Caenorhabditis elegans: one gene and its partner. The protein of the gene in region 2 purifies or fractionates together with the protein of the main gene of each other region. This does not show direct contact. Each region holds a gene or a part of one and is shown on either strand. Other genes may lie near its edges.

The links. The genes of interacting proteins can lie anywhere in the genome.
Region 1: the proteins of srh-239 (region 2) and inx-7 fractionate together in Caenorhabditis elegans (co-fractionation; one large-scale study listed by BioGRID). This does not show direct contact.

What each region holds. Positions count from the first base shown.
Region 1 is NC_003282.8:5,945,024-5,948,781, forward strand, and holds the start of inx-7 (Innexin-7), read right to left. Parts: upstream 1,616-3,758; 5' UTR 1,608-1,615; coding exon 1,023-1,607; intron 974-1,022; coding exon 840-973; intron 297-839; coding exon 66-296; intron 19-65; coding exon 1-18. Other genes in the region: rps-25 (Small ribosomal subunit protein eS25), read right to left, coding at 2,111-2,293, 2,407-2,577. UniProt on the Caenorhabditis elegans protein: Structural component of the gap junctions.
Region 2 is NC_003283.11:15,443,791-15,447,548, reverse strand, and holds srh-239 (Serpentine Receptor, class H), read right to left. Parts: upstream 1,813-3,758; 5' UTR 1,697-1,812; coding exon 1,390-1,696; intron 1,032-1,389; coding exon 847-1,031; intron 800-846; coding exon 569-799; intron 522-568; coding exon 267-521; 3' UTR 168-266; downstream 1-167. Other genes in the region: T26H5.9 (HNH endonuclease), read right to left, coding at 2,248-2,360, 2,514-2,625.

The DNA.
Region 1 (3,758 bases), on a different chromosome or scaffold from region 2:
GCAGTGAGCAAGATGTACCTGTAAGACGATTTCAATTAATTACACAAACTTCCAGCCTTATTTACCAGGCCCATAAAAATACGAAAATCTTCTCGGTGAACAGATTCAAGAGCAGCACACACTGTACAGTATGCATCTGCACATTTCCCATGTCCCGAGTTTCAAAATCACAGAGTGTTACACGTGGAAACACCCCGTTCTCTCGCCATGTCTCATTTCCATTCGTACTTCCATAGAAAATGGTTTTCCACATATCGAAGCCAAAGTTTTGTTGACGATCATGTGGGAGCATGTATCTGGAAATCGATATATTTTAATGAATGGCTAATAGCGAGATGCGAACTTTTGTGAATTTTGCACTAAAAATACTGTACCCGGTCTTGAAACGACAATTTAATTCAAATACAAACGTGTGAGCATCTTTAAAGAGTACTGTATTTTCGAATTTTCATGATTTTCCATTGTTTTTCTCAGGATTTGTTAAATTCTATAAGTCAATTCTATTTTGTCTTTCAATAAATAAGTATATTTTTATTAAAAAATTTATGAAAAATCGATTCAAATTCCCCAGCAACGAAGTTTAAAATTACAGTACTCTTTAAAGGCGCACACCTGTTCGCATTCAACATTTATTCGTCGTGTCGAGACCGGGTGTGGTATTTCTGGCGGAAAAAGCAGGATTTCGAAGCTGATTTTATTATCGGATGAATTGGCGGAATTGAGCTAAAAGTTTACGATATTTCCGTAACTTTTTCCTTTCAAAGTCCAGAATTCCATATCAATTCCATTTTCTCGCGTCACGAGGCATTTTATTGATTTAAAGGCGCGGTCATGCTTACTTGTTCAACAACTTCGATTGTAAGATGACATTGAGCAAAAATGCAACTTTTGCAACAAAATAGATGAAAGTGACGTAGTATGCGGAATACTTGATGTTCAGAAAACGCAGAATCTTGTGTGGAACTATCTTTTTCTGCAAAAAAGTGTATTTAGATGATTATCGGTCATTTAGAATTGCCTACCAATTTCAGTCTTTTTTGGAATCGCAAAACTCCTCGTAAATGAATGCACAATGCATCGATATTCGCTTTTTTGACAAGTGGAACAGCATTATTCTCATCTGAAGCTACTCGAAGAATCTCACCGACTTGCATTCCACTTTGACTGGCAAAATATTTCCAAATGAAACAAGGCAATCGGAAACATGCGGCTTCGAAAAGTAGAAAAAATGACATCCATTGATAATAGGATATTTTTTCGCCGCCTTTTTTGACAAATCTCGGTCGATTTCCACCGTTTCCAATTGTTATTCCATCTGCTACAACATCAGCTGGATCGACAACTTGCTCCACGAGTTCTTCTGTGAATGGGATGAAATATGTTGGTTGAGCCCAACAGTAATTATTCGAATATTGAACCCAAGCACTTGTGAAGTCCAATGGAACCATACATTCAATTGGAGTTCCACCAAACTGTTTCCATGAAATTAGAACGGCCAATCCAACGAGCAAATTCGATGTGAGGAATGAGTGTATGCTGGCGACAAGATCCTTTGCTCCAGTCCGATTTGTATATGGAACAGTGTTTAAGACACGAAAAACGAACATCTCGGGAGAGAATGTGAGAACTTGGAAGCCTTGTGATTGAGTTCTGAATGCACGATGTCATACGAGAGACAGTTGACAAAGAGACACTAGAGAAAAAGGCGGTCACCGATGCCCGTACAACAATGGAGACGCAGAGACCGCATCTTTCTCCAATGTTTTGCGTTTTTGGATGGTCCGGGAATCGCGAAAATGGAGCCCGACCGAAAAATCTTACCAACACGATTTCAGAAAGCATCAGACATCGCAAAAACCGCGAAGAGCGAGTTCAATCTTATACGTGAAAACAGTCATCGAAACGACGTTGTCACTGCAACCGAGCTTCATCCGAACTCGAGCTGAAAAATTCTGAAAATGTCTCCCTAACCATATTCAACAGGCAAGGATGCTTATAAGATTTGAATGAGTTTCCTACTTTAGTGATCATGTAAGTCCTGTAATGAATTCGACAAAAACACAAGATATAAACGTTTTGACATTTATGAAACATCAAATAAATCAACAAGTTATTCGACGATAACGTCAGCCTCCTTGGTGGCACGGGTGTACACGACCTGTCCGTGATGATGAACGACGCACTTGACGAGTCCCTTGGCTTGGAGCTCCTTGAGTCCAGCCTTGGCCAATGAAGCACGAACCTTCAGACGTTCAGAGACGACGGATGGTGTGATGAGCTTGTAGGTGATGACCTGAAAGTATTAACATTGCAATTTGTTCTTTCAAATCGTTGTTTGCTACTTTGTGATTCCTAATTTCAGAATCTTGAAATTTTTCCAGACAGCAAAAATTTAAAATTACTAACCTCCTTGTAGAGCTTGTCGTAGGTGGCCTGGTCGAAAAGCACCATGTTGTTAAGCTTATCCCTGACCTTTCCCTTCGACCACTTCTTCTTCTTGGCCTTTCCACCTCCAGATCCCTCCTTCTTTTTGGATGGGGGAGCCTTGCCTCCCTTAGGGTCCTTCTTTGGGGGCATTTTACCTGTAAAGACAATTCATATGAGAAGGAAAATCATGTAATGAAACGAGTTGATAAACAATAAGAATGAAACATTTTTGCCGTAGTTGGAAAAACGGAATTACAATTTTTCGTTAGAAAATAGGAGAATTTATTTTTTACAAGAAATTATGTGCTGGAATACTAAATTATACGGTCATCTAACTGAATTATTGCACTAATCGATTAAATTTGTCAAAAAAATCAGCAAAATCGAAGAAAAACCGTCAAGAACAAAGCAGAAAAATAAAAAACTTTTTGGGATTGCATATAAAATCGAAGAAATAGTGCCGCCGCTGCACTACGGTTGTGCGGCGCTGCGAGACCCAGTTGTGTAAATCGACGCGCCTTTGACAGTGACATGCCTCTCACCTCTCTCGTTTGTGTACTCTCTCGCATTTAAATATTAAAATCGAAGCAACATTGGTGTAAAATCAGTTTTTCTTCGAAAATTATTGTTTAAAAGATAATTCAGATTAAAATTTCTATTAAAAATATAAAATAACTGAATAATGAATTTATTTCGTTACAAAAACTTAAAAAGTTTGAATAAAAGTAGTGAAATTAATGAATTTCGTGGTAATTCGTTCGAAAAGCTATATAATTTGAAGCGAAAAATAAGAGAAAATAAAAATAATAAATTGAAGCTGAACGAAAAGTTGGAATCGATATCCCACCTCGCTAAAAATTATTTTTAGTCCAAAAAATGCACAAGTATTTATGAAAAAATGTGAAGCAAAATCAAAAAAAAATCTGCTCAATCTTTTCCAGACCAACTACTGGTCCGATCAACACCTAGGGTGTCATTTCCGGATCCCCAGATGAAGCCGAACCACACCCAAACCGTCAAAAGAAAGGTTAGCAGAGGACTTGCAAAAAAACAAATTGTCGCAACACACTTCAACCGCACTAATTTGATGATGTCCACATTTTACAAAAAAACGAGAGGCAAGCGATGGACAAATAGAGATATATATATGAAAAGAATGAATTGTACCTGTCGTGTCTTTTCATTTCGCAACATCATTTTCTATTTTTTTTTCTCCCAGTGGTGTCTACATCTGTCTTCCATTTTCCGAGTTTTCACAATTTATGAGGTGGGAGTCATTGACCTAAAAACCAGTCATTTACTGTCAAAAAACGAGGAAAAGGTGTTGTTGG
Region 2 (3,758 bases):
AATATTATATAATTTTTAAAAGAAAATTCTGCAAAATTTCTACATTTTGCCAAGTTTACACATGCAATTGTTGTATTGAATCGGTGGCATTTAGAACTTAAAAGGGCAAAAAAATCATACGATTCTGGGAACTCCTAACATATTTTTATTCCACTCGAAAAATGAGATTTTGAAAAACATTTATTCAAACTGGAATCTTCGCTTTAAAATTTTCCACTAATGATTTCCCGAATAAGTTTTAACCACTTTTGAAGACTCGTGATTTGTTAGTGAGTCCTTGATGTCGAAAACACGGGGAGCACATCTACAGTTGTGTGATCTATGAAAAATCGTTCGAACGGAGAAAAGGCAAAGTCTCGATATGGTTTATGGGCGAACACCATAATAAGTGTGGAAGCAATACCGTGAATTGCAAGAGCAAAAAATATCAAATTGCTATGAAACTGATTCTGATAGTCAAAGTATACAAATGCAATGAGAACATTGACAGGGACCACGAAAAGAAATAGTGTAAAGGATGTCTGAATTTATTCTTATTTTGGAAGTCATCATAAAAACTCATGCGAACCTGTATAATCAAGGCGACCACCAGCCTATGTTGCATTTGAACTGTCTTTTTTGAAATGCCACTGGGTCTCGCAAATATCAAATTATAAATATTAAGAGTCAAAAATGTTCCACACTGAATACTTGGAACACTTTCAGAAACAATCATTGTGATTGCTGGACCAATAAGTTCAGTTGCAAAAACGAACAGTTCCCGGCCATCATCAGGAAGCTCCGGGATGCAACTGAGCATCTTCAATGACAAATAATTGGAACCATATTTTGAAAAATGAAACTTACCGCCCAAGAAAGTTCCCGTCCCGTTACTTGCTCAGGAATTAGAAATTGAATTGGCAAGTAGTACAGAGGCACAATAATATAGCTGAAAACGATTGCATACTTTCGGAAATGCCTCCACTTGGAGTTTTGACCAAATAATATATGGAATCTGTTCTCAAAAGTTACAAATACTGCCGTGGTGACGCCTGAAAGCTTGGTTTTAATACAATTATCTAGAAACTGAAAACTTCTAGTAAATTTGAATTTTATTGATAAAAAATTGTTTTTGTGTTCAAATAGTCGTAGATTGAAGAATAATTATTTTTGTTAACGTGCGTGTTAAAATCAGGCGGCTGAAAAAATGGCGTTTGGTTTAATGTTCAAAAAATATTGGGAATATGCTTATGTGAAAGATCATAAGAGAACCCCAGCATTTAAAACCAGTCATCAATATTGTTCAAATTATTTCAAAATTTTAGAAACTTCACCAAAGACCATTAAAAAAACTATTAAATAGAAACATATTTTCCTATCGGCTTTTCAGCCACAATTAGCTCCTCTTACCGGTGATAAAAGTGACTCCTAGATAGAAAAATAAGCCCGGAGACTCAACAGGACCTAGTCCATAGCCTGCCATAGCAGGTAGCAAAATATAAGGAATACCCAGAAAACTGATAGTAATATCAAGAAAAATGCACCAACAATGTAAGTTGAATAACAACCATTTGACGGACTTCATATGAACTGGCGTCTTACAGACAATACAATAAAATCCAAATGCATGTATTGGAGTTGCCACGGCTGTTATTATATGAAACGCTAATTTTAGAAAACCAGGACTGGCTAGGTAGTGACTTTCACACGAGATCATTGGAGAAATGAGGTCGGGGTAACAAAAGTTCGAATAACAGGCAGGGCAGGTGTTTATTTTTAAGGTTACTACGCTGAAAGATTGGAATTTCTACGTAACTTTGTGTTTTTTGAAGTTGAAAAGCACTAAAAATAGTTCCAATGAGTAAAGTAATTGAAAAGTTTGAACAAATACTTATATGTAATTCAGATTTTCGCGGAAAACACGGCGCTGCAAAATTATACTTTTTGAGCAAACGAAAAAGACAATTGAGTTGTTTTAACCTTTCTTAAAATTATAATAACTTTCTATTCTTGAGAACTTAAAAGTTTGCATTTGGAAATGTACCTCTTAACAAACGGCCAATATATACAACATAAGTAGGTTATTATTCAATGAAAATAAATTTTCGGCCGCTGCGACTACAAGTATGTAGAACAAGAAAACCGCCTGTCATAATTATGAATTCGTTTTTATTTCTATCATCCTCAAAAGTCAAAAAATGTATTTAAAAAATTTATTACATAAAATTGTTTTTCAACAAAAAATGATCGCTTTGTGTAGGGTTTCATTCAGTCATCCTCATCCGATTCTTCCAGGTTTCTAGCAGCATAAGCAATCACACGGGGATCGCATGCGTGCACTACGTATTGAAGTTCCGGATCGTGAAATCTATATGGAGGTTCTGTAAATTTTGAAATTGAAAAAAAAGCAAGTGCGATTTAAAATTCGACGGTCTCCCCAGTGACAAAATCTGTATTTAAACTTGTCCCTAAACGAAAATCATTTTACAAAAAAACTTGAGCAGGCGCTCTTTGATAAAAGGGAAAAAACAAACCTTGTTCTCGTTGTTGATTGATTCTGATGACTTCAGGATGATATTGACAGTCATTATCAGTACACTCTCCCATACATCTCAGACAGAATCTTCGCGGGTCATCGTCACTCATTATGATCTGGAAATATTTGGATTTATGCAAATAGAAATTTAGAGAGGCTTTCTGGTGGTATTGCAAGCGTTACGGTATTTAAATGCCGTGCTCAATGGGCGGAAATGAAGTAGAGCAGAATTGATAAGAGAACTCATGATATAACTTTTATGATCAGCTGAAATTTTAAACAGTTGATTAACTTTTTTTACTTTTTCTTGATAACACTTTGAACATGAAAATTTTCTTGGCTTTTTATTTTCAAAACGATGTCAACATTTCCGGTTGCCCACTAGGACTAGAAAAAACCGGAAAGTGAAACTCACTGGCGCCCAATAAAATATTATATGGGGGACGCTTGCCTGAGAGTGCTATATAATTTAAAGTGAGCAAGACTTGTTGGTCAGAAAACTTTCTAGAAATTCTAAAAGTATAAGAAAGTGCAAGATTTAGTTTATCAGCGTGAATTTCTCAATTTGTAATTTTTAAAAGCAAAAAAAAGAACAATTTTTCGAGAACTTGCTTCATATGCCTAAATCTGTATAAATCTGTATGTATTGCATATTCTCAGATTATTGACAGATATGAATTTTCCATTTTTTTTGAGAAATACGAGATATGCATGACTTTTCAATTGAAATGTGCCGCTAAATGAAACATAACGTTTTGCAGAAGCAGGTGATTTATTGAAGACAAAATTGGAAAATTACGTAGTCCTTATCAAACAGTATTTATAAATAGATGAAGTTTTTGCACAATAAACAAAAAAGTTACAAGAAAGGTCTAAGATTATGATCCTCTATTGACCCTGATTCTCGTGAGATCCACAATGGGTGACACCTGGACCGAAGGTTTCGTTTCTGAAATTAATATTTTTTAACTTGAGAAATATAATCATTCTGCTATTTTAGACGGAGGTCGTCGGAAGCTTACTTCTCAATAACTCACTTATCAATTTGGAAATCTTTCTTACAGAATTCAATTTGTTTTGTTTATTTTCCCATTTGTGTTTATCTTCCCTTGATTAAATTCTTTGCTATATATATATGCTGACCACAATATGATTCGATAGGATTTTATTTTATTTTATTCTCAAACAACATGAAATATTCTATGTTTATCTTCATACTGATCTCAGTTGCTGCTCTTCATGC